3 linked regions of the Caenorhabditis elegans genome follow. The protein of the gene in region 2 purifies or fractionates together with the protein of the main gene of each other region. This does not show direct contact. Each region holds a gene or a part of one and is shown on either strand. Other genes may lie near its edges. The genes, in order: let-19, eat-3 and R04E5.9.

Region 1 (9,060 bases), 550 kb from region 2:
TGGATGGTGGACCCACCGATAGAGGTCCTCCTTTTGGCATTTCGTTGCTGGCAGGTGGCGATAACATTCCATCTGGACCAATATGCTCGCCGACTGTTCTGATATGTCCGATACTGGTCACTTCCATAGGCAATTCGTTATGATGATGTTCCATGTCAGCAAGATCCACAGATTCTCCCTCCAGATATTGCCCACAAGTTCCTTCTCCAAGTCCATGGCGTGGCTCGTCTATCTCAGAATCAGATTCTTCTTCCATCCCGCAGTGAATTGACGATTCATAGTCAGGGATAATATATCCACTTGGTATTGCTTTCTGAGCATTCAAAAGTAAACAAAATTTTGAAAAATAGCCACATACCTCCGAAAATCCAGCTTTCTCATTTTTCTTACAAAATGAGTTTACATCAAGTTTGTCTAAAACATTTTCCACTTCTTTCAGGTATTGTTGGAACTTTTTCTCGTCGACTTTCTTCTTTTTATATGATAATAGAACGAGTTTCTGCTGTTTTGTTCCTTTCGATTGTGAATCCTTTTTGGTCTGAAAATTTGCATTTATTTTTTTGAACTTTTTATATTTTCAAACAAAAAGAGATTACTCAGGCACTTATAATTTCGAAACCGACCGAAAAAGGTTTTTTCTAAGAATCATATATTCTAAATATTGTTTGAATATTCGATTTGAAACATTTTAGCTCTTCAACCATGAGAAACGAATATCTCGAAGAGCCCAAATTTTTCAAAAAAGTTTAACAATTTACCAAAACTGAAAATTTTCTAATACTATCTCAAAAACTTTTAAGGAATTTATTTGTATTATTTTGAATTATTATAAATGTATGAATTTCAGGAAATATCCCACAATGACGATACTCTACCTTTCAATTGAATATGATTGGAAACAAAATAAATTTTTCAGAAAAAACACTCACAGTTAGTTTTAATTTCCTGATGGCTCTTTTCAATGAACGTTTGACTATTTGTTTCTGCATATCAATATGATACTGCCCCGCCTTCTTTATCTGTTGTTTGCTAACTTTCCTTCTTGCTTTCTTCAACCATTTTGCTTTTCTCATCATTTCTTTTTCATCTTGATCCGCACAAATTTCATCATAACCTCTTAATCCTTTTCGACAAATGCTTCCTTTGAAAAACTTATTTCCTTTTGGTGTAGGAAGTATTGATTCATATTTTTGAATCTTCTTTGGCAAATCCTTCAAATGGTATTCTCGTGGTGAACCGGTCATTTGATTTGATGGATCAAATTGATAATGAGCGTGCTCGATTTTTTCTGCTCTCGACATTCCAGGCTTCCATCGATTGTATCTGAAATTGTAAAATTTGTGTCGAATTCTAGAAGTATTAGAAATTAATATAACATACTTGTCTTTGAATATCTGATTGAAACGCTCTTCAGACATATCATCATCTCCAGGCATTGACTCAAAGTCATTATTATCTACATTGTTGGTGAGATATGTAATTGGCAAAAACGATTTTGGCTTGTAGTTGTCATCATTTGGAACTTTGGGAATTTTGATGTCATTATGAAGTCTGAACAAAATATGTAATTGAAAAAAATAAACTTCTGGAAACTTACTCAAAATCCTTATCAACTTCAATTTCAGGGATTCCCTTTGGGTGCTCTCCCTCAAAATTAGCCCAATCATCCTGAGAAAGTTTGTCCATTCGAAATGAATCATCTTCGCTATCAGCTCGAGTTGATCCAGTTGGACGTTTTTTGTCACGCCTCTTCTTTTGTGCTCTTTCTCGACGAGCTCTCCTTCTTCGTTTGACCGCACCTAGAAAAACAAAAGAATATAAGTAAATATAAAATAGCAGTGCTTCAAAATTTTGAACCATTAAAAAGTTGCAATGGCTTAGGATTACTTAAAGTTTATGTTTTCAAAAAAAAAAAGTAAAAAAACAGAAAGCTCTCAAAAAGTTAGGATGGCCAAATCAGTGTTAAGTGTAATTTTGTGAAATCATTTGTTTAAAAAACTCACTCAGTTGTTTTGTCTGTTTCACACTGTCTCCAGCCTTTCTAGGTGTAATTGGCCCAATTGGATGCTTCTTGTGATAGGCATGAAAATCAAATTTCTTTTGAATTCGACTCCGAATTTTGTGCCATCTAATCGAATTTTCCGTATATGGACCATATTTTAGAAATCTATTGTGACGATCAACGTCTAGTATAACTTCTGAAAAAATATAAAAACTTTGAGATTCTTAAAAAAAAACATACGTCCATCGGATTCTCCTTGGTATTCAGCTTCAGCACAATGTCGACATGATACATCTCCTCTGCATCCATACTTTTTTGCAGTAAACTTCCAATTTAAGAATTTTTCTTTTAGTGGGGGCAAGAGCTGCCCACTAGTGGCACTTTTTTGTGGAACATTTTCTTTTGAAATTAACCGTTCATTTTCACAGTATTGGTAGACTGCCATTGTAGATAGAATTGGATTCGCAACGTTGACAACAAGTTTGTTACGTGGGCGACGATTTTGGGCTGGAATAAATTGCAGTTGAACTAGGAAAATTAAAAATAAATTATTTGGAAGTGCATACAACTAATAGTTGAAAAACCTATCATTTATTGAAATTTTCAATAATCAACATTTTCTTGGCAATTCGTAATGTTTTCAAAATTTTAAAAAATCGTGGTTTACTTACCTTGTAATTCAGGTGGTTGTTGATTTGTCTTCAGACCAATTGACTCAAGCATTTGCCGATCCTCATCAATTGTGACACAAAGGAATTTCGATGGGTATAATAATCGAACACCGTCAATATCAAGAAGAACCATTTTCGGCACATCATTATTCACACATTCTTCCTTCTCTCCAACATCTTCATCTGTCACTACATCCGAATCATAATCATCAGGATTTTTAACTTCTGTACGTTGCCTTTCAACCTCTTTTCGTCGTTCTTCTCTTAATTTCCTTCTTTGTTTCCTCACTTCTCTTGATTGTTCTCTTTTTTCTTTTTCTTCTGGTGTCTCTTCTTTTGATTTTTCTTGACGGTAATCAGGCTCGTACATCCATCGTAATCTCTGTGGAATATCGTCTTTTTTTGACTCATCAATTGCCTCAAAACTCTGTGATTGCTCTTCATCAGATGAATCTGCAAGTAACACTCGAGTTGTTTGTGGTGGAGCTGGTGGATCCGAATCTGGAGATTTTTGCCTTTCTTCTGACACATTTTCTGGTTCTTTTTCTTCCATTTGCAAATAATCTTTCCATTGATTCCATTCTTTTTCTGCTGATTCTTGAATTTTTGGGTCGGCAAGAAGAGCTATTTGGTCTTGAACAAGTTGACCGCGCATGGACCATGGACCTACTACAACCACAACACGTTTTGTTTTGCACTCCAAATGTCTGAAAATTAAATTTTAATTATTCAATAACTATGTTAAAAACTAAATTACCGTCTAGCCAAAGTTATCAAAGTTGGTTGCCTTTGTGCTTGAACAGAAGCACATATCGTGCTGGATCCATGAACAAAAAAGTTGAATCGAATTGCTGGAGAATGTGATGGATACGTAAAATGTAGATAATTTTCTCGTGCATCATATGGAACTGTAAACCATCTTCCAAATCGAACGAATCCGTCTTTTGTAAGATCTCTTTCCAAAACAACGTGCAAAGCTTTGAAGATAATTGTGCGTACTTCGTAGCTCACAATATTCATTTGATTTGCTGATGATAATTCATCGTCGTTATCTGAAAAATAAACAAGTTGAATGAATTAATAGAAAAAACAATAATTACCCAATCCTTCACAATTTTTCTGAAGCAATGCTGGCTCATCATCATACCAAAATACCCAGAGCTCTTTTGGAGCATCATTTGAAAAATTCGTCAGTTTTGGAGTTTCTTTGTTATCAGTTGGGGGTAATGGTTTACGTCTCCATGTGCAAAGAATTCCGTCCTAAAATTTGGATTTAATTAAATTTATGGCTTTCATAAAGTTCTTACCAATAAACATTTACTGTATGCTTTGAGTACAAAATCAGCAGTCAGTGCAACACCACGTGGAGCATTTGGTTTTGTGCGGTAACATTTCCATTTAATGCCTGGCAATTCAAGTAGTGCATAAACATTTGAGATACAGTCTTCTAAGCTGCCACCGTTGTTCCACTCTGGACGCTTCTGGAGCTTCATTTTGCGTGAGGCATCCTTGTCGCTATCCTACAAAATTTAGAAGGTGGATTAGTTTTTACTTTTAGTTAAACTTTCAAATCATAAAAATTTTTGGCAAATACCAAAAATGTATTTGGAGAATTATATTTCAAAAAAAAACAGCGCACCTTGGCGGAGGACATGTCCTCTGTGGAGTCACGGGCTGGTCCACTTCCAGCCAGTATCTTGGAAGCGTCCCTGTACAATTGTTGATTCTGTTGCGACGACACTTTAGCACAATGTTTCTGCAATCGGAACTAATTTGTCGAGCGATTTTGAACGGAGACGACAGGCGATAATAGACAGGCGGTAACAAATTAAACGGTTTTATCTCAATTCGAGTTAACAAAATGAAACAAGAATGGCCGAAATACATAGGAATCATAAAAACAATTGTGTTTTGTTGTCTACAATGCAATTGCCAAAACCAATCAATATTAATGTAGTGGTTAGAAACCTAGGTCCACATTTGGAAATATTCAAGTTGGTTTTGAAATGTTTAATAACATTATTAACGATTATTCTTTTGTGTAAAAAAAATTTGAAAAAAAGAAGTTAAACTTTGGAGTTGAAATTTGATACTGTCAATCGGCAAGTCACTCAGTATAGTTACACCTAAAACTTTTGAAAAATTGCAAGGACTTCGTTTTTTACAGAATTGATAACAATTTCAAGACATTTCACAAAAACTTTTGTAAACAAGATGTCCATATTATCAAACTTAGTTTACAATATAGATCAGAAAAAAAAAGAAAAGAGCATCTCAATTCATTTGGAAAAGTACCAATTAACTTACATAAACTTACATAAGTGAAAACGTTTAATCAACTTATTAGTATAAAAGATTTAGCTTTAAAAAATTCTAATTGAAACTACATTTAATAAAATAAGATATCATTGTAGGTATGCAGGTATTATATGTTCCCTAAATGAAAATAAACTGTCCCATGTAATCTTTGAATAGGATTGCGTACTGTGCAACACACTTGACGCGCATTTTTTGGAAGAGGGGTATTAAAGAAACGTTTTATGTTTTCCCCAGAAAAACTTCAGTGACAATCAATAAACTTTTAAAAATTACGAAAAAGACTGAAAACCGATCAACGAAAGACAGATAACACAGAGAAGAGGCAAGCCATGAGGACAACGTTATCTCTCAAATACGTAAACGAAAGATACACTCGCGCCTCACATTTGACAGATTACCTACACTTTTTTCTCTTTTTTTTGAAAAAAAAACAATCCGAAAAACTTTGAATTTAAAAGAAATAATAAGTGTCTTTCTAGGTGCTAATAAATATAAATTTCAAATTTTATGTTTGAAAAAAATTAACTATATCACGAAACGAAATAAAGAAGTTGTTACAAAATTCACCAATAAGTTCATTAAATCAAATATTTAAATTTAAAAAAATTAAAGATAATTTTTTAGTTGAAAATAAATTATTCGAAAAAACAGTAAAACTATGCTCATCAAATAGAGTCATTGGTCTCAATCTCTTGAACACCCAGACAGAGAAGAAAAAGGACGAAGAGACGACGGAAAGTGGCCCCCGTGTGTGTATGTCTTTTCCTTACTGCGTTTCCTTCTTTTCCCACTCCCTTCATCATGTCTCTCACCCCACCATTGCCCCGCCGCATTCGGAGGAGGCGGCGGCGCGGTCGTCACTCGATCAATCCCCTCTGCACACCTTTTCAAGAAATAAATGAAAAATTGAGAAAAACTAAATTAACAAAAAGTTTATAAGAAACAAAAAAGACCAGCATCACAAAACAATGACTTCAAAACAAATAAAAATAAGTTTCACTCTTTTTATTGAATTATCCTTGAAACATTTGACAAACGAAAATCAAGATTGAGAGATACATTGTGAAACAGATGGGATTGAAGAAACCTTTTGTTCATTCTCGATCAGATGAGCATCGTCTCAGCCATTTCTTTTCTGCAAAGAACCATGATCGATTTGACGGGTCCTCCATCCAATTGGGTCACCGAACCGTTCAGGGCCACTGTAGCACACTCGGTCTTCATGTTCACCTGTCCTACAAGACATATGCTCATTGGCAGAAAAAACAGTAGGTGCTCAACAACAGAAAGTGAAAAAACACACAACTATTCGAAAGTAATCACTTTCAAGCTTACTTCAGTTAAACATATGTTCACTTTATCATATACATACATTTTTTTGGTCAAAGCATCTTACATGGCTTATGATAGCAAAAGATTTTTACTTTTAACCAACGTAATTCTAGATTACTGTAATAGAAAAACAAAAATTTCCGCAGTGCTTTTATAGTTTACCTAGAAAAAATTTTCCATCGACTGGAACAATGGCAGGACAAATGTAGCTGAGATGAACTGGAACGTAGTCTTTGTCACGGTAGTCAATTGCCTGAAATTAGAAAGTTAGGAGAACAATCTGATTAATTAATTACTGTACTTGTGTGTAGGTCATCCATACATAATCATAACCAACTGTAGTAGGTGGCAAACTGATCAAAAGTTGGAGTGAGCCGACTGTTGCTCCCGTGAATTCTCGTTTAGCGCTGAAATAATTAAACATGCACGCATTCGAACAAATCAAAATAATCTTACTCTACAAAAGATGCTTCAATTCTTCCATTGCTTTGCCATGCCCTTCCCATAATTGGTTTCCCATGCCGATACCATAACGCAACAAATTGATCAATGCCTGCCGATGGGATGTTTTTTGGTATAGACATTACATTTCTGAAATTGGATACTCTTGAATGTAAACATCAGCAAATTGATGCAAAATTCTGTAGCTACTAAGATGAAAAAGAATTTCACAGAAATGCTCAGAGAAAGAAAACCTTTTGTACAAAATATAAAATTAAAAACCTAGAAAATGTTAATAAATAGGCAAATATAAAGCTACTCACTTATTGGATGGCCACGCACTTCCCCAATTGAAATCCTCCCAATCGTTGACGACTGTCAATAACTTTGAAGCACTTCCAGTGGAACCCTTTTCCTTTTCTTTTTCAGTCGCGTCTCTTGATCCAGCAATCTTACACAGAACCAAAAGATGTTCCAACTTTTTGGTGGTTTTCTGAACTAATAGATGAAATAAGCGTTTAAATAAAAAACCAACAATTTGCATTTCGTTATCAACAAAATGTGCGACAAGCTTCTCTGTGTTCACGCATCCTAATAGTCCATGCTCCGGCCAATACATTGATGCACTGTATTCACATCGAACCATTTCATATTTTCCTTCAATTGTCAAACTTTGTGCTTTTTTGAAGTTTACCCAATCATAATGAAATGATTTTGATTTTTCAATATGATCGAGAATAAGTAATTGAATGCTTCCTCCGACATCTGCTCCACTATATATCTTATCATCGAGAACAAACATGCACTGAAAAGTTGGATTAAATGGATATTTTTTATTATATAGTCTTAGAATTTCCTAGTTTATTTTTTAAAGGAAAATTTTCCCTAAAATATCAAGTGAGCCTAACATATCAATAGCAAATATGCAACAAACGATGAGTTGAAACTTGGCAAATCGATCCAGCTTTCCAGAGCACATATCTACCGTTGGTAAAATTCCCTGTAAAATTGGATTGATTGGCCAAGGAATCAAAACTTCGTGGTGGCTCTCCATATTTTTTTGTATTTTAATATTTTAATACCGCTTGTAAGTTACCTTTTATGCAGGCGAACTTGCATACTTGCAAGTTCAAATAATTGGAAGTCTATTTTTAATTTCTGAATAGTTATTTTTCCAGTTTACCTTCACCACTCCAGAATCGTTCCAAGCTCTGCCCATCACTGGTTTTCCGTGTTTATACCATAATGCGACGTACTTATTTGTCTCACCAGGAGCTTTTGCAACATTTGGTGGAAAAGGTGTGCCAACTTTTTGTAATGTCCAAATATCGTCTATGTTTCCCTGAATAAATCACTTGCAGAATGTTTGAATGCGTGCAATAGCCATCAAATAACTGAAAGCCACTCACCTTTTCCATTGTGAACCCTTTCCTATCCATTAAAAATTTAAAACTGATTTGATTTCACTGTTCCGACCATTTTTTTCTATCTGGTTCACGTAATAACGAGTTTTCTGCTGAACAAGTTTATTTAAATTTATTTAAAATATAGATAAAAATGGAAGGTCAGATTGGATATCTTCCACGCGACTCGGTGCATTCAAGATATAAGATGATAACGTAAACTGATGATTATCCCGGCAGTACCTCCTTCCTTTTCCTTTTTCGTACATTCCATCAGTTATATTATTGGTCTGTTGAGTCCAGCTATATAAGGATGAATATTGATGAAATTAGAAAGGTATGTTTGATCCATTTTTCTCAATATTATGATATAATTTTTGTACATCGAGCTCTTTATTTATACTAGTCCAACGTCAAACATTTGCATTTGTAATAAGAAACTGATGTTTGCCAAATTATCTGAAAAAAAAAATCAATTTGCTAATTTTGAATATTTTAAAAATACTTTTTTTCGGCCATACTTTAATTTTTCAAAAAGAGGGTAACAGCTGAAAATACATAAATACAAAGTCCTACCAGGCGGCCTATGCCAGCCTCTATTGCCAAAGTATACGTGATATCCGTGGAAGTTACAATCTAAACAAAAATTTGGTCAAAACTACGGAAATTATTAAAAAAAATTATAGAATTTGTTATCATACTATTAGAAAATTGTTAAATAATTTCAATTAATTAAAAACTGTTTGAACCAAAATATTTTGCTATCTTCAAAAGTGTTATCATCCTTATATTTTCCCCTGTTTTCATCGAAACCGTCGCTGATCAGTTGATCTCGTACACGAGTATTTTCAAAATTTCTCCATTTTTTATGATCAACCATCGACTAAATTAA
Region 2 (11,460 bases):
AGAACTTGCTTCTAGTTCCACAAAAATGCAATAAATTGTAATAATTGAATATTATTAAGTTCCGACCTTTGTGACACGGGAAAGCTTGCAAAATTGAAGATTTTAGCTGAAAGTATACTTTTTTCAAAATTTTGGCATATTTTTGTGTGAGCACTTGAGCATTCGGTCATTTTGAGTTTTTATTCGTTGTTTTAGATACTTTTTCGGTCGATGGTATTTACATAAAATTAAAAAAATTAGATTAAATACAGTTCCAGACACCAATAAGCTTGCAAAATTTCAGTTTTTTCAAAAAATTAGGCTCTTTTTTCTGTAATTATAAATATTTTTACCTGAATCGATCCTTTCTCATAGTATCCCATAAGTGTTCCCATGCACTTTTCCTGTCCTGTATTTTTCGCAGAACTCTTGGTACGTCTCATATGAGTGTCGACAACATTCATGTAGACTCCCGGGTGGACATTGACAGTTAAATTCGAAGCCATATTGACTTTTTTCTGAACCCTGTAATTGAAAAAAAAACTAAATTAAAGAAATAATCTGAATCAAAATAGTAAATTCAGCTGAAAACTGAAAAATGGTTTTGAAAAAATCAATAAAAAATATAAAGTTCTTAATAAATATTTTAAATTATTTATTTATTTACAATTAAAAGAAAAATTGTGTTTTTCAACGAAAAAAAAGAGAAAATAAAATAAATGTTCTGTGAATCAGAGAAAGAGATATAATTCCACTTATACATATATACTTTATCCTGGGAACGAGAGGGGGCATCAAGAGAGAGAGGGCATAGACTTAGTCTACCGAAAGTTTATAGTTTTATCACAACTTTTACTTATATTCACATGAGATTTTTAGAGAGACGTGCAAAAATTAAAAAAAAAAACAAAAAATAAATGGTGGAATTTTAGATAGTTTTTGTGTGCAACTAGACTTCTGAGCTTATTTGGAATCATTTTTCGATGCGGAAAAAAATTATGGGTAAATTGGCTTTGTTTTCTACGTGTTTCCCCATAATTTTGAACTAAACACTTTCTCTAATGTCATTTTTTGTTGTTAAATTTACAAGTTAATTTCTTCGCCTCAATCCATCGGCTGTTTCTCCTGAACCATAAGCTGGTGGTGCTTCAAATTGTCCAGCAACATGAAGTTCTTCAGTTGGATGTGGGCCGCGTTCTGGTCCGATTCCTGGATATGGTGGTGGTGCTGAGCTCATGAAAACTCGTGATGGGTTCGGCTGATCTGGGAACGAATCGGTGGTTGGATTGAAACCATTTGGTCCTGAAAATGTGAAATCTATTATTAATCGGATTAACCGGGGAATAATTTTAAAATAAAAAAAAAGTTAAATGCGGTTTAATATTATTTTTCTAACGAATTTGATAAGAAAACCATTAAATCCAAAGAAAGATGGTAAAATCAATTCAAAAATCAACAAAATTGTGAAACAAAAATGCAACGAGGTGGAAGAAAGTTGCATTAGAGCACGTTTTCATTTTTGCAAAACTGTCTGACCAGAACTGAAGATTTTTGGTATTTTTAGCAAAAAATCTCTCTTAAACAAAAAGTGATCGAAAAAAAAAAGAAAAAACTCGTTTTTTTAAAAATTAATCTTTAAAAAATTTTAAAAAATGTTTCAAACTTGGATTCCTTTTTTTTTCGTTTTTCAAAAAAGTGAAAAATGTTCAAATTCATACAAATCTCTAATGATTACGCTTAACATTTTTTAGGTAATTTTAATTTCGAATTCAGGATTATTTTTAATGTTCAAAAAATCTTACCTTGATCCGGCGACGGCTGATAATAAGCTGGCGGTGCAGAGTAGAAATCTCCAATTGGTGGAGAATATGCAGGTGGAGCATTCTCTGGTCTCATTCGAACAGCTCTTTCGACTGCTTGCAATAGAGATTGCCCGAATTCAATACATCCCCCTCTGTTGAATGTCATTCTCCATTTAACCTCTCCGCGCATTTGTCCTCCTTGAACAGCCGAGGCGATTCCACATAGGTAGTTGGCTCCGAAAATCGGCTGGTTTAAGTTAACATCTTGCATACTGTTGAATGGAATTTCAAATGATTTCAGCCAATCTCCAGGGTCTGGCATGAAAATGATTCTGTGTGATGTGAGGTAGATGGTTCCCGTTCGACGTCCTTCCAAATTCTATAAATTCGAAAATATGATTATAATTTTCAGCATTTGTGCTAATGAAGATTTTTGGTGTTTAAAAGATATGAAAAAAATACTGCAATAAATTACCTCATTTTCACTGGTTCCTAGTGTCATTACTACTCCTTGTGCAAAAATCACGATGGTTTCTCCATTATACAGTAGGACACCAAGTCCGTCCGGCGTGTTCGCCGTGTTGATGGACATCTAAATATAAATTAAACAAGTGGTAGCAGGATAAAAAAAGGTACCCAGAAGCGGATTTTCTATCGAAAAACCGAAGCATAATACGAAAAAAAAACAAATGAAAATGTTAGTTTAGGGAAAAATCTTCGTTTAAATTTTAAAAAATTATAAAATTGGGGAAAAAGCACAATAATTAGAGACCTAGATCATATTTACAACAAAAAAACCGGTTCAAAGTTGAGATAACCTATCAAAAATTGAGGGCAGGCAAAAGACTAGCTATACATTTTCGTGTCAATGAAAGGATGGAAAAATAAAATAAAATGGCAAAAAAGCACCAAAAAGCCGTGATGAAAACTTACAAAAACAAGTGACAAAATTACATGTTTTAGAGAACCTATTTTCGAGTCTATGTGATAATAGAACTAGAAACAAACAAACAAACAAACAATTGCACACACCTAGAATCTAAGAAAATCGTTTTAGCTGATCAAACATCGAGGAGATTTCAGATTTTTTCACGTTGTAATTGAGCCATGAACTCTTCGAGTTTCTCTTGGATTCGGCGAACTTGTTCTGAAATGGAGAATGTATAATTTTGTTTTGAATGAAACTTCGCAACATTTTGAAATTGAAAATGGAATCTCAATTATAAAAATTTACATTACATTTGGAATTTAAAGAATTTTAAAAGTATAACTTTGCATGAGAAATCCAGGTTTTCATTAATAAAAATTTGAAGATCAGAAAAAAACATACGAATTTCTTCTGCAAGATCGACACGTCTTCCCGTCAAATATTTCTTTTTAATATCTGGCTCTTGTGACCAATCATCCAACACCTCCTTAATCTCTTTTTCCAGCCTTCTGTGTTCAGTATTTGTGATTTGTTGCCGCAGTGCGTTACACGTCAAGTTGACCATCTTTTGGATTCTGTAGAAAAGTACGATGGTTTGGCAATCGATATCTTGTCCTTCAATCATTCCTTGACGATACATCTGATACATCGATAGACAGTCCTTGCTGCTCTGCAGAAAATATTTTATAAAAATTTAATTTCAAATGTTTCAGTCACACTTACATTAATTATCCTCTCCAAAAAGTGCTTCTTAAATACTAATTTCCATTGTTTTCTAATCGATTCAGTGGGAACTTCAAGTACGCCTTTCGTCTCAATATTTCTTCTGATTACAGTAATATCATCATCAGTCAACGCCTGTTTGTGCTCTGGATCTGCTCCTAAAATTGAGTAAAGCTCGTCCTGAATGACACATGAATAATGATTATCAGCAGTTGGGGTCTTCCACATTAGCCATTTCGATGCCCAACCCGGTCCTCTGTCGTCAGTAAGCTGCTTCTTCACTGCTGCAAGACGTTCTGATGCAGCCTTGTGAAGGAAATTGCATGCAGCATCCCATGATCGTTTATCCTGAACAGCACGATCCTCCATTGCATTCAATTGAATTACTCGGAGATAATCCATCGCTTTGTCATCCCATCCGTGCGTCAGCATAGCTTCTTCGATTACTGCTTCCTGGAATTAAATTATTTAAATTTTAATCATTCAAAAAAAACTACCTTTAAAGCATCAAACACTGGATCATGATCTTTTTTCGTTCTGGCATCTTGATTAATTTGTCTAAAGAAAACTTCTTTCAAAGTATCCCATCCGGTTTCGATGCTCTTTTGAGCCAGTTGCTTATCAGCAAAGTGTTTCAACTTGATATCAACTGTTGTGTTGAAAGATCCGGAACTTGAAGAAGCATACGCAGGCATCAATATCTGATCAAAAACATGTGAAGATATTCCTGACCATAGTTTGTCTTGAAGTAGTTTCTCCCATTCTTCAACTCCGATTAACGATAAATTCACAATTTCATCCAGAATTTCTCCTCTTGCTTTGTCATATAACTCGTCACGATTTAGTTGTCGTATTCTCAAAAAGTGATTCTTCCATTCAGCTTCTAAATTAAATTTGGCTGCTCTAAACGCATCAGTTTGACTTTCAATAGAATCCCGAACCATTCTCCAAAAACAATCTGAAACTGCCAATGACATGTTTCGAGTTGTCATCTGCGATGGTTTCAGAACACCATCCCGTAGTAACTGGCTTGTTGAGAAGAAATTCTCCTCATACTTTCTAATTTCATCGATCGAATCCGAACTGTTTCCTCTTCCAGTCACAACTCCGAAATAGCCAAGAGCCTTCATTGGAAATAGCTTTCCTTCAAGGATTTTCTTGATTCTATCAGGATTGGCCAAGTTCTTCTCAGCCATATCGACTTTTGTAAGAACTAGAATCGTGCGTTTTCCTGATGGATCAATGCTACTGACCAGGTCAGTTACGTTGCTTCTTTCCGCGTCAACCGATCTAAAATTTGAAAACTTCAATGATTTTCAGAAAAAAGATGAATACTCACCCATCCTGAATGCATAAAATGATTGCATTTGGGTTTTCCATGTGTGCTTTACTCATTCGAATGATGTCATCTTTAGTTTCCCTTGCCATATCAGCAGTCACAGTTGAGATAACTCCTGGAAGATCTACCAGAACCATTCTTGGGAGATTCGGACCTTTCACAGTTAATGAAATAACTTCATTCGACACCGTTTTCCCATCTCTTACTGAATTCCTCATTCTCACTTCAGTTTCATTACGTAATTGCTGGAGATCCGTCTCTTTGGTAAGATCGAATTCGCGTGAGGAATCACGGAATTGTGCAACATGGTATGGACCTTCGGAGAGTGTTACCTTCACTGGAGCTCTTGTCATCATTTCTCCAGATCCTCTGGGAAAGATTCTGGCTTGTGCCACCATTTCTAAAACTGACGTTTTTCCTGCACTTTGATCACCAACTACTACAACACGCGGCAAATTGTCCGAGGTGTTGTATGACGAATCGTATTCGTTGAGCAAGTCCAAAACTTCGCTGTACATGTCGATTAAGGATCTCTGAAATAAATATTATATAACTTTGAAACAGCCTAGAAATTATATACCTTAAGCCGTTTCAACCTAATTGCTGCCTTATCATCCGATAACAATAATCTCTGTTTCAGAACTTTGTTCTCTTTTTCGAGGCGTTCCAGTTCTCGTTGATATTGACTCTGAGTCTTGAGCATTTCCTCTTGAAGCTTCTGTATCCGCTCTTCGGCAGAAACATTGTCTTTTTTCTCCTCGGGTTCATCTTTTTTGGAAGAGAATGCGGACATCAATGAGGCGAGAATGACGGGCTCTGAAAAAATAGAAATTTGATTTTTATAAAACCTGTAACTCACAGATTAAGCTAAAGCACTAGGCTTTAAAGATTATCGTTTAAATATAAATGAGAAACTAAAATCTAGGAATGGACAAGCAAGGAAATTTCCATCCAATAACCGACGTATAAAGTGAAAAGTCTGGATTATATTTCCAAAGATCATGAAAATCCGCTTAAAGAGTGTGTCGTCTTTATTTTCACTTTTAGAAACGCATTCTGACGAGTATCAGGTTTATTTTGAGTAAGAAATCGTCAATTTACATCATAAAATGATTATTTTCGGATGATATCGTATATCAATGACGAAATTGTGAGGAAAACCGTTTTTATTTTTGGAGAAACAATGTATTTACCTTTTACTGGAACATTTCCTTCTCCTCCTCCGCCGCCTCCTGAATTTCCATTTTGATCCTCTTTCTGTTGTTTAAATTGCTCAAACTTGGCCATCCATTCTGCCCATTTATTTTGTCCATCTGCACCAAATCCATCTTTAATCCCTTTCATTTTTTGCGAAAACTCGTTCCAAGACCCATTTGAATCGAACCATTCCGGGAGGGATAAATCGGGCAAATTTGATTTCCATTCTTCATACCACTACAAAATATTTGATTATTCATGTAAAATTATCTTTTTTGGCGAATGTTTTTTGATCTACTGCTCACAAAAATCATATCAGTCGAGTAAACCTTTTAATTTAAGATTTTTGAACATTTTAGATAAGAGACTGACCGTTCTAGCCGCGACACTTCCACCAATAACCCCAGTTGCGATAAAATATCGAAGTTTGAGCAGATGTCGAGCTGCACTGGCAGCGATACCAATAAACGCCCTTTCGCTTTGTAAATTGATCACTGTTTGCCGTTTTTGGAGTCTGAAAATGTCAGTGATAAGCCGTATAAACAAGGTGAAGAGTGCTTAGACAAGGATTGAGTAAAAGTATATTCCAATGGGATTGAGAATAATAAAATTCCGAGTGAGCACATGGTCTTTGATGTCTATTTCTCTAATTCTCCAAAAAATTTCCCATTTTTTTATTTCTGTTCCAGAGGTTCAAAGTTCGGAATTTTGTTTTCTTCTTCGGTTTTTTCCCGTCAAAAATGAAATTTGAACATCAACGAATAGAAATATTCTTGGAAGATCTTGGAAGATTATATAACCTCATCTTCAGGATAGGTAATATTTAGGAAACAATATTGCCAAAAATGTGAAATATCCGAAAATTTTTCGTTAAAAAATCTTAAACAATTTTTCAAAAGTTCAAAATGAGTGGTAAAAGACAAAATGTCGTTTTTTTGTTCGCTTCAAAATGTGGTGTTTTCATATTGATAAACGTCATCAACCAAAGATGCAAAAAAAAGAGAAGAGACAGCAGTATTACAAAACACATTCCCCCTTTGCGCTATCTTCGTGGTTTTTGGTGTCTTATTACTCATCAAAGAGCGGACAGAGAGAGAGAGAGGAATAGAGAGAAAAGGAGAGAGACTCACAATCCTCCTTTTTTGCTGAAAAGTGCATTTGTGCCGAATTGCCTGTTCTGATGTTGATTTCCATTTGAATATGCGGCTAAAGTTGCAGAAGTGGAGGCGGATATCCGGGAAAACTTGTGCAAATTGTTCGATATGAATCGGCGTCTTGTGGCGATCCGCATCATTGTTTCATCACCTAAAAATTGTTTATTAGTGAAGAAAATATGATTATTATGACAAAAAAGGAGGCGAAAAATAAATAAAAATAGTATAGAAATGAGTTATCGGCTATATTCTCTAAATATCACAAGTTTTGCACAGAAAGCAATGGAAAAAAAATGAGATCGAAAGAGGAAATAAGAGAGAAAATTAATCCGATTTGAGCTTCTTCTTGAGCAAAATAGGAGCCAGCGACAAAATCGCCGAACCCGTAAGTAAAACGATAGAACTCCAACTCCATGCTACACTGGTATGGCTCAATTGTTCCAGTGTTGAGCCAGCTTGAATATACAGGAAACTTGGTGGAGCAACGCCTAGAAATGTTCCCCAGAAGAATGGAGCCAGTGGAACATCTAGAACAGGACTGGCAATGTTGATTAGCCAATTTGGAACAATTGGAGTTACTCGAAGGAAAATCATATAGTTCAGAAAGTCATCACGATGCTTGCTCAGATCATCCTGCCATTTTGCGATTCTTTCGGGAAACTTTTGCAAAACAAATGATCGTCCAAAAAGTTTAGAAATGGTGTAGCAGATGGCGGCTCCAGTTGCAGAGCAGGAGCACACCAACACAATTGCCACATAGAATGGAAACAGGTATCCTGATAGAATTGTTAGAAAAATAGATCCAGGGATAGCGAAGGACTGTAGAAATACGTAGACGACAATTACACCGCACAGAACTACTGAATAGTTGTTCTCCTTGTACTTCGAGAGAACTCTGCCCAGCTGCTTAGCGTCTTCCAGATTCCTGGGATATTTCAAATGAACCTTCTCATCTGCCGAGACTTCAGGAAAATTGCTGTATACAGCAAAAATTGAGACCGCAAAAGTGGCGAAAATGAGTAGAACAAGCCACGGATGTGAAGTTTGGGATGATTTTGTTTCCATAATATCTGAATGTTAAATTCTTTTGTGCACGGACATTACGGGTGAATTAGTGTAAAGACAACATTAAAACATAGAGATGGGAAATAAAAAGATAACATGATTAAAAACTATTTACGAAATACATCAAAACTCGATTTATCCTGTAACATACGTAAGAAGTATGTCAAATTTTAAGAAGATAATCGTAGATTTAGGATTTTTACTACAACAAAGCCTCTTAACCGAAAATTGTTCACAAAGTGTGTTTAATAAAAATCAAACAAATAATTCGAGTTTTTCCTGGATTCAATAGCGTTAGTGCTTCACATTTAATTTAATCAAACAAACTTATGCAAAACTATTTCGCAATATTACTATTCAGATTTCTTTAACTGTGAGAGTTAATCTATATATATATATATATATATATATATATAATATGTTCTTATATATGTTAACTTTTCCGAAATTCTAATTGTGTAATTGAAAAGTTTTGGAAAACAGGTGTTTTCGAGAAATTTTGCAGAAAGAAATGTTGCATCTTTACTTGAACTAGATTTTCTACTCTATTCTTAATTTATTTATATCAGTATATGTTTAAAATAACGTCAAAAGCGGAAACATGAAACAAATTGATTCAAAAGAGCTCTATAATCTTGCGAAGACAGCGGAGGAGAGAAAACAGCGGTAGAGAAAGCAGAGAAAAACGAAAATCGATAATTTCGGATTCAAACTCGACGAGAATGCTTTAAAATTGAATTTATATAAAGAATACTCTCGAAAACCGTGAAAAAATTTAATAAAAATAATCATTAGTGTATATTATTTAGAAAACGGCTCTTCGGTGCGGGACCCGCCACCAAGAAAATTCTATGCGCCTTTAAAAAGTCAGCCGTTTTTATTTATTGATCATCTGATTTCTAAGATTTCTGCTGAAATTAAAAAGGTTTTCATTTAAAAAAGTAATATTTATTGATAATTGTTGCTCGGATAACTTTAAATTTATTTTCTTATAATAATTGCATCATTCTCTATTGGAAACGCTCAACAATATATCATTTTTTAGACAAAATGGAAACAAACTTCATTGGTGACGACTATGGACCGCTCTTTCACTACCAATATCGTCTTATCGTTATTGGGGATTCAACAGTTGGCAAATCTAGTCTTTTACGGTACTTCACAGAAGGAAAAATGGCCGAAATCAGCGACCCAACTGTCGGAGTAGACTTTTATGCAAGGATGATTGAGTTGAGGCCTGGATATCGTGTTAAATTGCAACTATGGGATACAGCAGGACAGGAAAAATTCAGGTATGTGGATTTTTTTAAAAAGAATATTAGCTGATTAAAAAAAATATTTTTAGATCAATTACAAAATCCTACTATCGGAATTCTGTTGGAGTCCTTGCAATCTACGACACAACGAATCGAGAAAGTTTTGAGCATGTTGAAAATTGGGTTAAAGAAGCAGCATTAAATTTGGGTGGTCCAAGCCCATCGAAGTGTGTCTTCCAATTAGTCGGAACAAAAAGTGATATGGATTCACAGCGACAGGTAATTTTTGAACAAAAGTTGTGTTTAAAAAATTGGTTAAAAGCTTTCAGGTAAACTATGAGGAAGGCGAGTACTTTGCCAAGTACCATAAAATGAAGTTTATCGAGACGTCGTCGAGAACAGGAGACAATGTTAATGAAGCTTTTCATATGATTGCACAAGAGGTTTTTTTGAAAATGTTTCAATTTTATGATGTAATTTTCAAATTTTTAGATTCAAAATCGAGTCGACGACGGAGAACTGCGGCCCGTGGATGGCTGGGAAGGCCTTAAAACTGGTATTATGAGGTCACAATCCGTGTGCCTATCCGAAAGAAGTTTCCCTCAAAACAGCAGCGCAGGAGCTTGCGGATGTTGATAATTTCTCCTCAATTTTTTAATTTTCCCCGTAGTCATAATTTCGCGTAGCGTTCTTATAAACATCAAAAACTCAGCTATTTTGTGTACTTCCTGTGAGCTTTCTCCTTCATCCAGTGTCACCAACCTCACCTACTCTCCCGGCATGCATTCTTTTGAAATAATTTCTAGTCGTTCTGTCCAAAAACTTCAAAAAAAAAGATTTTTTTTCAAACTTTGTTGTAAAAATACAATTTTACAGTCGAAAAACTAGGAAATTATCGGGATTAGAAGAAAAGTAAGAATCACAATCACTATTCAGGACAACCTGTCAGGGGTATCGGGAAATATTGGTAAGTTTTAGAAGGTCTTGATTTGACAACAATTGGTCTTGGGGAAGGATGGGCATTTTGAGAGTGAATATACAAAATAGAAAGGAGAGGAAATAAATTAGATGAAATACAAAGAATTATGAGAAATTCGAGAAGTAGAAGCAATTGTTTATTGTGATCCAGAAGGGGCAGAGCAAACACTTCGAACATCCCAAATCATAATCACACGATTCTGTCCACTGGTAACTAGAAGTCCGAGAGTTTCCTGGAGATGCATAGCAGTGATTCCAGTATGGATTTCATGTGGAATTGCAAGTGGAGTAAGGCTAAAATTGAAAATAAGTTTCATCAGTCATTTGCTTTACAACTTACTTGAAATTCTGTGGATTATCTTTCATTCGTGCATTGCAGTCATTACAAATGCGAATTTTCGTCTCATATCCCATTGGTGGATAGGTGGTCCAGTTGTCACAGCAAGATCCACAGACTGCTGATCCACAGGTTCTGCAGTGATGTTGTCTCAATCCGACCACTTTCCTCTGCCACATTGCTTGAAGATTCCAGAAGAACGGTTGATTGCATTTCTGACAGCAATCCGAAGTTTTCCATTCAGGAGTCTCAACTCTCTTGCAATTCATGTCCCAGCACATGAGCTTTCCGTGTTCGTCAGCCGAGAACAGACGTTTGGCTGCTGGAGCTGCGCATAGTGTTGTCACTTTTCCATTGTGTCCGCTGAAAAAAACATTTTTTAATTTGGAAAAATCTATTTCAACTAAATATAATTCAACTTTTGCGCTCGAAAAACATCAACACTTTCGAAATATCACGTAAATTCCAGAAATATACACTCACTTAAGCTCATAAGCTTCTCCTCTTCCTCCTCCGATATCCCACATTATGATGAGATGATCACTGCTTCCAGAATACAAAACTTTCTTATTTCCGTCCCATGTGAGCGAGGTGATTGCATCTGAAAAATCATTGAACTAATTCAAACCACAATTACTAATTGTATTGATTGTGGGGAATTTCAGGAAATACTGGAATGTTATACTTAACAAATATTTTTCC
Region 3 (10,664 bases), on a different chromosome or scaffold from region 2:
GGGATAAGTTTGAAAACCTTTTCCCGGTACATTGAACAACTTTAAATGTTTTTTTATAAATTATACTATTAAAATCAGTGGAATCATGTTTAAAAAGATGTTGGATTAATCTAACTTCACACATATGCTCTGCGGTAGAATTTCTCCAAAAACAACAATGCCAACTGTGGAAGCTACAAAAGCTATCAGACCTTCTGCCAAATCATCGAAAAGAAGTGTAATTCCAGTGTTGACAATCTTAAATTTTGAATAAAAAAAATAAGTTGACGTTAAATCTAACAAAACTCACAACATTCATAATAATAACAGTGCACAGTAACCGATTACCATGACATCTAATTGGGTAAATTGCTGCCGCATGCTTTTTCTCTCTTTGTGATCCTGCAAATTCACATAAAATTTGGTCTTTGATAAATAATAAAACAGTACCTGATTTCATCAAGATACTAAGTTCTTGCGGTGTCAAAGCCATTAGTCCCAATGTCAATCCGGAACACAGTGCTGATATGGAGAACAGTAGGCATAAAATTGCGCACTGAAATATTTTAGTTTAACGAAGGTAAGAGTTTTACAATTTTTTAATTCGAAAGCATTTGAAGGTGGACTACGGCTTATGGGGTGGCCAAAACATTTTCAAAAATATTGGTAAAAGTGATTTCTAATCAAAAAGCACTGAAAGCTCTGTTTTTATCAATTTTTTAGAAGTCGTCGGGTACTTGTGTATTATACCCCCGCCATTTTAAAAATTAATCAAATTTCCAATTAATTTATCCGTAAAAATTAAACGTGATGCCCATTTTCTTCGTAAACCTTAGGAATGGTGTTTTCCTAAGCATAAAAATACAAAAGAATTTCACAGGTTTTTAATTTATAAGTTAAAAAATTATTTTTTTAATGGCGGGGGTATAATACACAAGTACCAGTCGTCGGGAAAAAAATAATTTGCTTTGTTTTTTATTTAAATTGTGTTCAATATATTTATATACCAACATTGTAGACGTTAAAACATTTGCAACACTGATCTATAATTGAAATTTGGCATTTTAAGGAAAAATGCTAATAACCATCTCATGGTTGTTTACCTGAGCCCAAACAGGCATGAAAGTTTCATGAGTACTCTGGACAGCTTGAATCCAGGTTCTATCGTCATCGATTTGTATTAGTCCATGACACTCTGATTTTAGACAAATTCTCCATGGCTGGGGCCACCTGTAATTTACAACTAGCATTAACGAGTTCAAAATAATTGCCTTACGCTACGAAAGCATATTTAAAGACTATTTTCATATCTTTATGAATGTAGAAGGTGCTTTCTGATACATTAAACTCGGATGTCACGCAGACAGAATCAGTAAATGTCACCATTTCAACCTGAAATCAGAATGTGGAAAAGTTGGTATAGGCTGATAAATACATTTTCTAGTCCATGACCAAAAATCACAAGATCCACTTCAGTGTTTGCCTCCACCAATAACTCTCCAGCATCGCTGAAATTTTGTTACATTTTGTCGTACACCCTCGTCTGGTATTTTTTATCCCATTGTATTTAGTGCATTATCTAATTTTCTCTAATGAAGCTTTATTCTAAAGTAATGTAAACACCCAGATGAAATGCCATTATGACAATATACAAGCTTCACGTTTATGTCAAAACATGCAATTGAATTTAATTGAACAATGTAGTCCTTTCAATCAATAAAAAAGATGGCATTCCGTATGAAATACTTGTAATTACTTTAGTGCAAGTTGTACTGTGTATTAGAAGGTTCCTCATTTCTTACCCATATCCTAAAAATCCTGACGCGTCTACATCGCTTTCAATCCGAACTCCTGATACCACTGGCCGTATTTCCTGAATTTCCATCAATGTTTTTTTGTTTTCCTTTACGAAATTTCTCACCAGTTTTCCGTCTATGCATACAATGTGTGCACAGAGCAAAAGTAAACGTAGAAAAACTTTAATGATCATCAAATTAGACGTGGTATAGTGTGGTGGCGATAATGAATAAACGAGTGGTGAAAATGAAGAAAGTGCGTATCAGTAGGGGGCACTGATAACAATCTAGGTGGTTCATGTCTATGTGACATGAATGCTTGTTTTGGGGCTCTTTCAGTTTATGGGTGTCTAGAATCAAAATTTGCATGTGACAGGCTAAAGACAGGTTTCGAAGTGTTTTATCAATTTTGCATCCAGTCAGAAATTTTTGTTTAAAATATGATTCGTTTTTTCTCCAGTAATGCTTTTTGCCGGTTCATAGGAGATATCTTTTGTTTTGGGATAGGAAAGTAACTTTTTGGTTTCTCCTTTTTTTTAAAGCATAATCTATGAGTATTGGTGTTTTTTTATTTTAGTTGAACGTTCATTAATGATGTGACTACTTATTCAAAGCAAATCCAATAACTTCCACTGAAATAAAATTTCGGGATATTAAAAAAAATACAGCCTTATATTTTTTTGTAATTTTGTCACAACATTTCATGTTCATTTGGCATGACGAACAGCGAATAACTTTCATTTTTTAGACTATTTCGATCTTCCAGTTCTATCATCATTTTTGATATCCCTTATTTTCTTGATGACATTTTTGGGCAGTAGACGTGTCTACGCTGAAGGTTTGTTGTCCTATGAACGCGGGAATTGCAATTTTTTTCTTTTACGCTGAAAAAGTAATTTAAATAATGCTCTAGAAGTTTTCTCATCAATATTCGTTTGTCATGTTCGTTTAAGGAAGAAAAATTTAATGAAAAGTGCCCAGAATACATCTTCTCGGGACAAAAAATGCCAGTCCCCTACTTCATCCCGATCATTATTGTTTTCGTATCAAAAATTCATCAACCCTCACGTCAACATCTTGCTTTCATCGCCAGCTCGCCATTCTCAATTTTTCCTTTTTCTGTCCGCCTTATCTCACGTGCGCGCGCGTCCCGTCGTCCTCTCTGTTTTTTTGTAAATGTGAGTGTGTGGCAGAAAGCGAGGGTTTATAGGGCATTGGCGAGAGAGTGTGTGAAAAAGAGAGTGTGTCTTCGTTGTGTCTGAACACGCGACGCGCAGGGAGAGGGACGCAACGCGGTCGCTTCCAACTATTTTCTGTGTTCCTGCGGTGCGTGTGTGTATGTGCGTACCCTGCATCGATTTTTGGCTCGAGTAGTGGAGACGCCGAGAGTATGAAGTAGGTTTTTCCTCTAATGTTTAAATTTTCAAATTAACATTTCTTATTTCTTTCAGAGAGTTCATCAAAAAAGAAGAACCGATTTTCGAGGAGGAAGATGCGCATGTGCTGGGCGACGATGAACCAGATGGAGATCTGCCAGAACTTCCAAAGTAAGAACACCAGGAAAGTTAGCTCTTTTTTTACTTTTTTTTATTCAGAATTGCTGCTCGGCAGAGAAAATCAAAGATCGTGAGAAAACAAGGCAGGAAAACGAAAAGGAAGACTCGAAAGTCAAAGACAGGAGCAACAAAGCGAAGGAAAGGAACTAAACGACGACGGAAAACCACATCAAAATCGTTAGACAAAGGGGAAAGTATTGGAAGAGTCAAGCGATACGGGCGAGAAAAGGAACAAAAGCTTCATATTCGCCAAAAGTAAGTTTTTGAGAATTTATAAAGTAGTTTCTCAAAAAAAAAATCAGTAATGCTAGAGATAATAGAAATGTGACATTAAAAACTTGAATTATTGAACTCCAAAGCCAAATGCGTCGCATGCTCCCGAAATCATATCGGAATCAATTTTTCACTGGTTTTCTTCCAATCGCATATGAGCAGTGTCGTCCAACGTTAGGGTACGGTGATCAGATATCAGCTTTTCGAAGGGCAGTAACACGCTTGTAGTTCGGTCATTTCCTACTCGAAAAATTGTTGAGGGCTAATACATAAAGACATTATGTTCAAGCTTGCTGCACTGTGGTTCTGGTAGTCAGTCGCATTTTTCTGGCGATGCTCATACCGTGCAAGGCATTGCACTATTTGAACAGTGACGCAATCTAGTTGAAACTTGAATTTACCGACACTTCGACTTCTGAATCGGTCGTCATTCTACTATCACCCAATGTCCTGCTTCTAAAAAACTATGCTTGTTTAACAGAAGTTAATTTTATCTTCTGGTAAACGAGAAGCAGAAACCTTTCCATAACTACTGGAAATGTATCGAAGAAAACAGTTTTCCGAAAAATTATATGTGGAGGGGCTCGTACTGTTTATCGAAAGTTAATTCCAATTCAAAAGAAAAACGTTTAGCTTAGCAATGCAGCAAAGATACAACTTCCTGCACAATTTAACTTTTTGTCAAAAAGAAAACTGAAATCCTACGAAACATACATATATTCTGCAATTGACTTCAATTATATTCTTCATCGAAGTTTCACTCAAAAATTACTACATCGTGACGGCTGATTTCACGAGAAAAAGGAAAGCAGCACGAATCTATTTTCGATTGCTGTCACATGTATTTTTTGTTTTCAAATTTTTACAATCACTCAAAATACAGAAAATAAAATTACTACAGAAATTTTTATGTCTACATAATCATGTTAATCTGTAAGCATTTAAAATTCTGCTGTCAGAAGAAGCGCCACAAGAGTTTAAATATAGCTTAAAATTACGCAGTATTTTTTAATTTTGAATATGACTAATAAAATCATAGCTTAGCGTTCACATATTCTGATCGCCTACTAATTTTTCTATTTCTGTGATTCGGAGTATGATGACTTTCTGTGAACAATGTTGCATTTTTCATAACTCTCGAACTTATAGGTTTTCTGCAGATACATCCTTTTCAACATTAAAAGGTGGCCTGGAAAAATATATTTAACTGACGAATAGAAAACTTCTTTGAGGTTTATTGAGAAAAAAAAGCTCAAAGAAGGAATAACGGTTCAAGATATCTGTTTCAATATTTTAGTTTGTAGTATTACTTTGAGCTTGTTGAGAAAAAACCCAGAAATTTTCTCTCTCTTTTATTCTCTCTCTTTTTGAGCTTATTTAAATTAATTGTTAATATTTGCGGACTGTTAATAGCCAAACGATGATAAAAAATTGTTTACACCTATACGCAGTTTCAGTTTATAGCGGGCGATTGTTTTTCGCAGCACAACTCCAGTCCCTGTCTCATTACAAATTCATGAAGATAGTAGAGTTGGAACACAACCATTTATTTAACATTCGTAGGCAATCGCCTGAAATGAAATGACGTGAGCTTTAGCGCACAGAAAATTGGGAGCACGCAAATGATGAATGGTATCCATCAATCTCAAACACCGATATTTCGTGACGTTTTTCTTTTCGTGAGCCTATAATTCAATGTGACGTGGCAAGCGCTCTGAAATTATATATTACATCACTTCCGGGTTTAGGAAAATTCGAGGTCTGAATATCAGATCCTGAATTTTGAAAAAAAAAACGTAAATTTTTAAAAGTTGTTACTTGATGAATGTTGCACAAGAATTCTTCTTTAATTCTCATATAGAATTTATTAGAATAACAGAAAACCTTGCTGATAAATGCAATGTTTGGAATAAGCCAAAACATTAGCTGTCCTTCCCTGGTCTGAATGTCAAGCTCAATCTGATTGATAAAGTTCCAATTCAATTAACTAAACAACTTTTTTCAAAAAAATGTTATGATCAGATCGTATTCACAAAGTGCATCAGAAAACAGGGAATACGGGGTTCCTTGGCCTTCATTCCGAGATGACAAACTTTTTGGTGGCAAAGGTTCTTTGGGGGCAAAGTATCCAAGGAGACAAAGGATCCAGTAGACAAACTGGGGTGTGTCTTGGGGGGCATATCTTTGGTGACAACCTTTTTTTCAACTAGATTTTTATATGTATTTTTCAACTAATTTTTGTTCAAATTTTTCTGGAATAAGTTTTTTAATGCAATTTTCAATCGATTATCGGTTATAATTCCCTCACAATTGAATGTATGAACGATGGTCTTTTGGGAAAAGCTGTAAAACGTCCAACTAACTTGGAATATCGTGAGGCTCTTCCTGATGGCCTGATCCTTCAGATAAGAAGGATCGTAAGGGTACCTCCTGATGGTCTGATACTTCAGCTCCAAAGGATCACGAGGCTCTTCCTGATGTTCTGATCCTTCCGATCCGAAGGATCACATGGGTACCTTCTGATGATCTGATCCTTCAGATAAGAAGGATCGTAAGGGTACCTCCTGATGGTCTGATCCTTCAGATCCAAAGGATCATGAGGCTCTTCCTGATGTTCTGATCCTTCAGCTCCAAAAGAACATGAGGCTCTGCCTGATGTTCTGATCCTTCAGCTTCGACGGATCATATGGATTTTTGACAAAATTTGAAAAAAAATTTGAAAAAATTGACCATCAGGAGGTACCCTTACGATCCTTCTTATCTGAAGGATCAGAACATCAGAAGGTACCCATGTGATCCTTCGGAGCTGAAGGATCAGACCATCAGGAAGAGCCTCACGATATTCCAAGTTAGTTGGACGTTTTACAGCTTTTCCCAAAAGACCATCGTTCAAACATTCAATTGTGAGGGAATTATAACCGATAATCGATTGAAAATTGCATTAAAAAACTTATTCCAGAAAAATTTGAACAAAAATTAGTTGAAAAATACATATAAAAATCTAGTTGAAAAAAAGGTTGTCACCAAAGATATGCCCCCCAAGATACACCCCAGTTTGTCTACTGGATCCTTTGTCTCCTTGGATACTTTGCCCCCAAAGAACCTTTGCCACCAAAAAGTTTGTCATCTCGGAATGAAGGCCGGGTTCCTTTCTTTGATGGAAAAAGAAATTCACGAATTTTCGGCTTTTACGTCTTACCGTTTTTGAGAGCTATGTATCGTCAGTCTTCTCTTATCTACACAATTTTAATCATTAAAGCACAATTACAATACTTGCTACAGAAAAATAATTGTCGAGGGAAGCACCGATTTTTTTGTGAATCTTTATTCTAAAAGCCAAAATCATGCTTACCCCAAACATGTCATAACATTTAATTATTTCAGCGATGATGTCATTGTGGTCGATGAGGTCCCAAGTGCAGATAAAGTTCCCACTCCACCTCCTGCGCCTGCAAAGCCTACGTGAGATGCCAAATTTTTATCATGCTAAATTATAACAATAATCCCCTTTCAGGCCGTCGAACATTCTTGATCAAATCCTTTTCGCTCAGGAAAAAGTTCTTGCTCCAACTGATACCGCAAGAAAGTCGTTCACCAAAAACAAAATCCTTCCAAACGAACGACGCAGTGTTTGGTTTGCTTCTTAAGCCTTCTATTTTTAGAATGTTCCCTCGATTTTCAGGTAACTTCGAGATGATGTGAGGCGTGAAACACGACTGGTCCGCCCTCTACGCATAGTCTTTTTCATTGCACACACACACACACACACACACAAACAAAAACAGCATATATACCCTGTGCCCACGCTCATTTCCTTGAATGCACACCACGTCTTCGACGCCGTGCTGCGCCAACACGAGGCCCTGTGCCGTCGATGTTGCCGCCGTCGCCCCCCCCCCCCCCTCCTCTAATGCGACCGACTCGCGCCCATCTTGTTTTTCTTCTACTCATTTTCTCTACTCGATCGCCGCTCACACGCACACTCTTTTATTTTCCTGTCTGCGCCTCCCCTCTCTGTTCGCTCCTTTTCAGACTGCCGGTTTTGGTGAGCTGGTGAGTGCGGCGGGGCCAACGTGATCCGTGTGTAAGATGAATAGAGAGATGAGAAGGGCTCGTCGTCGCTGCACGCGGCGTGACTCGGTCAGAACTCTCGTTCTTCTCCCTTTTCACGGATCAATGGCCACGATGCGTGCGCTCACAGTGGGTATCTCATGGCAACGCATTGCTTTGCTCCGCCTTTTTTATCGACAGCAAAATTTGTCTTTCTCTCCCGTCAACTCTTCTCATCTCTTACTGATACCTACGTGTATACTTCATTGTTCCAAATACTGAATGTATTTCTTGCTCAATTTTCGAGTGTACCATTTATACTCCTTTTTTAATTTTCTCAAACTCTCTGAATGCTTTAAAATATGTACATATCATAAATAAAGTTCATTTCAGGTGAAAATGCACGGACACGACAGACCGGGCTCATCGTCCGGTGGATATTTCAACCCGCCAAGAAACAATCAATATCATTATCCAGAGAATCATCATCATCCCTACCCCGAAAACATAGCTAACTTGGTACCGCCATCAAACTTCCAGGCCATGCATTATAATCACAACTACATGGCTCATGCGGCTTCCATTGCTCACACGTACGGGGGTTATCCGCCTCCATATCCATATCAACATCCTCACCAGCCGCCGCCTGCACATCCACATCATCTTCAGCATCCACACCCCTATGCATATCCTGGATACCCTGTTCCTGGTCAGGAAGGCCACCAAGTGCCGGCACCACAACACGGTGATCATGAAGCAAGTCCACCGCCTCCTCCACCACCCAGGAAATCAAGAGCTGGGGGATCGTCGCCGCCACCCCCACCGCCACCAAGAGTTCCGCGGACACCCCCGCCAAGAAGCCCTCCACCACGGAGACCACCGATGACTCCACCATCACCGCAACGCAGACCACCGAGAACTCCTCCGTCTCCGGAGCCACGGAATCCGCCGAGGACTCCTCCGTCGCCTATTCCACCACCACCACCACGTCTAAACAGTCACGATCGGAGAGCATTGAGAGCACGTCGTCCAATGGTTCATCGTCCGGTAGGTTCTCTTTTTGATATCATTGAGTTTTCGTAACTGAAATTTGAGAACATTATATAAACAATTTTTCCAGTTTACTGGTTTAACAAAATATTTTTTCAGGCTCCTTACGGTCGCCGCTCCATAAGTCAGGGACCTGGAAGAAATAACGACGACGTAAGTTAAACGGTTATGAATTCTAGTTACAAACTTACAATTTTTCAGTGGGGAAGTCGCGAGTACGGAAAATATGCCGAGCGTCTTGCAAGCACAGAGCTGAAAAAGCTGTAGGTTTTACAATGAAGGAGTAGAAAGGATATATGGATTTTGCAGGCATCTCGAACGAGAAGATTACAAGCAAGTTTTGCGAGTAGTTGCAAATGCAGCAAAAACCTTCCGATTTGATGATTTTGAAGTTCGGTCTCATCTGCTATCCGGATACCGTTTCTACATGAATGGAGAAGATGCAAACGGCACAAAGCGTGAGTTAATAACTTGATGTTCCTTTGACTAGGCTGCAATTTTCTCTGACTAATTGAGCAGCAAAATTGTTTATTTTGTTAAGTATGATACCCAGAATAGTTTTATTTAAAAAAAGACTCATCTTCTATGTATCAAAACTTCTATCTTTATATCATTTTATGAAATTATTTATTTCAGAGTTCTCCATCCCACATAATATGGATCGGCCACCAGCCCCTCGTTACTGGATCATTGATAATGAAGTTCGAAGCAATCCACCATCGCCAGTTTTCCGTCCAGAAGCTTCGTTAAGTCCATCGGTCAATGTTGACTACGGAGAGGGGTCATCGAACCAAGCTGCACAAATGTTTGAGCCGGGAGAAGACCAAACTGCGTTCTATCGAAGACTTTTGGCTGGGTTCGCTGCACAAGGACGGACATTTGGACAGCGAGAAGGAGAGATTCCAGCCATATACGGAGCCGACGGTCTTTTGACAGAATGGGGATACGAGCTGCATCTCTTAAACCAAGCTCGACAATTAGAATCGAAGCCTCCATTGGTTCATTATGAGGAGGTTGGATTTGATCGTAAAGACGACGACGAAACGTATGAGCCCTATCAGGGCGGCCAAGCTCAGCCAGACGGATCTCCAAGTGAGTACAGCCCAAATCATGTTCGCCGTGGACCAAAAACTCCACCAGAGAGAGAAGAATCTGTGGAGTTTTCTCCGGGCCATATTCCAGTCGGCCCAAAAACACCACCAATGCCCGATGAGAGTCTCGAAGACGATAAGAGATCACCAATAATGGATGGTAATCAATTCGAGGAGATGGAACTGTATCCAATGGACCCAGAACAAGAGGTTTCGATGAATTTTGTTCCTGTGAAGCCTCAAGCTGTGGTCCCTGAACAAGTTGCATCTGAGGAAAATGAAGCTAATCCAATGGAAGTAGATTCGGGAGATTTGATGAAACTGGCTGTGGACTCTATTGATCAAAATGCAGCAGTTGTTTCAAATGGCTCATCAACGCCATTTTCAGTTTCTACACATGCCGACCAAATCGTTCCGAAAATAGAAAATAAACGGCCGGCCGTGCAAGACTTAATAGGAGAGGTGTTGGAAAAAAAGAAGGCAAAATCATCTGCTTATGAAAAGCCTGAAGAAGGGGAAATTGTTGACGCTGAAAATGCTGGCATAGCTTCTTCAAAGGCTAGCAAGTCAGCCGACGACAAAATAGAAATTTTGGCAAGTCATGGTTCCAATTCAATTCTTAAAAGTGCACACGATCAGGTGAGAGTTAGTTATTCTTCAATTGTATTTACCAACGAAACATCAATTTTACAGGCGTCTAAAGCATCCAAATCGTCGAGAAAGAGGTCTAAAAAGAGTAAGAAGTCAAATGAGACTTCTTCATCTTCATCCGATGAACGATTGATACATTCACAATCTCCACCAACACCCCAAAACACTACTTCTTCATCCGATGTGTCTTCTTCGTCTTCAGGAGGTTCAGCGTCCAC

The links.
Region 1: the proteins of eat-3 (region 2) and let-19 fractionate together in Caenorhabditis elegans (co-fractionation; one large-scale study listed by BioGRID). This does not show direct contact.
Region 3: the proteins of eat-3 (region 2) and R04E5.9 fractionate together in Caenorhabditis elegans (co-fractionation; one large-scale study listed by BioGRID). This does not show direct contact.

Annotation. Positions count from the first base shown.
Region 1 is NC_003280.10:8,766,344-8,775,403, reverse strand, and holds the start of let-19 (Mediator of RNA polymerase II transcription subunit 13), read right to left. Parts: upstream 4,430-9,060; 5' UTR 4,328-4,429; coding exon 4,313-4,327; intron 4,194-4,312; coding exon 3,981-4,193; intron 3,934-3,980; coding exon 3,774-3,933; intron 3,726-3,773; coding exon 3,431-3,725; intron 3,381-3,430; coding exon 2,674-3,380; intron 2,510-2,673; coding exon 2,243-2,509; intron 2,199-2,242; coding exon 2,004-2,198; intron 1,800-2,003; coding exon 1,598-1,799; intron 1,552-1,597; coding exon 1,381-1,551; intron 1,324-1,380; coding exon 930-1,323; intron 539-929; coding exon 359-538; intron 314-358; coding exon 1-313. Other genes in the region: nsph-1.1 (Nematode Specific Peptide family), read right to left, coding at 6,097-6,227, 6,487-6,577, 6,626-6,731, 6,781-6,915, 7,089-7,258, 7,301-7,570, 7,700-7,765, 7,949-8,107 and 1 more.
Region 2 is NC_003280.10:9,320,687-9,332,146, reverse strand, and holds eat-3 (Dynamin-like GTPase OPA1, mitochondrial), read right to left. Parts: upstream 7,274-11,460; 5' UTR 7,260-7,273; coding exon 7,099-7,259; intron 6,483-7,098; coding exon 6,341-6,482; intron 6,206-6,340; coding exon 5,965-6,205; intron 5,588-5,964; coding exon 5,352-5,587; intron 5,305-5,351; coding exon 4,772-5,304; intron 4,723-4,771; coding exon 3,930-4,722; intron 3,886-3,929; coding exon 3,433-3,885; intron 3,380-3,432; coding exon 3,112-3,379; intron 2,929-3,111; coding exon 2,861-2,928; 3' UTR 2,482-2,860; downstream 1-2,481. Other genes in the region: eif-3.F (Eukaryotic translation initiation factor 3 subunit F), read right to left, coding at 333-485; wbp-2 (GRAM domain-containing protein), read right to left, coding at 1,070-1,281, 1,782-2,160, 2,257-2,373; egli-1 (Transmembrane protein 41 homolog), read right to left, coding at 7,447-8,187; Ras-related protein rab-39, read left to right, coding at 9,238-9,479, 9,533-9,722, 9,773-9,886, 9,936-10,079; wdfy-2 (WD repeat and FYVE domain-containing protein 2), read right to left, coding at 10,559-10,715, 10,762-11,121, 11,242-11,359.
Region 3 is NC_003284.9:8,803,495-8,814,158, reverse strand, and holds R04E5.9 (uncharacterized protein), read left to right. Parts: upstream 1-3,016; 5' UTR 3,017-3,165; coding exon 3,166-3,170; intron 3,171-3,226; coding exon 3,227-3,322; intron 3,323-3,370; coding exon 3,371-3,586; intron 3,587-6,988; coding exon 6,989-7,066; intron 7,067-7,118; coding exon 7,119-7,238; intron 7,239-7,286; coding exon 7,287-7,290; 3' UTR 7,291-7,501; downstream 7,502-10,664. Other genes in the region: Metal transporter cnnm-2, read right to left, coding at 116-237, 290-381, 430-535, 1,083-1,209, 1,256-1,371, 1,415-1,487, 1,782-1,852, 1,901-1,969; R04E5.8 (JmjC domain-containing protein), read left to right, coding at 8,054-8,701, 8,804-8,857, 8,906-8,967, 9,014-9,162, 9,341-10,434, 10,489-10,664.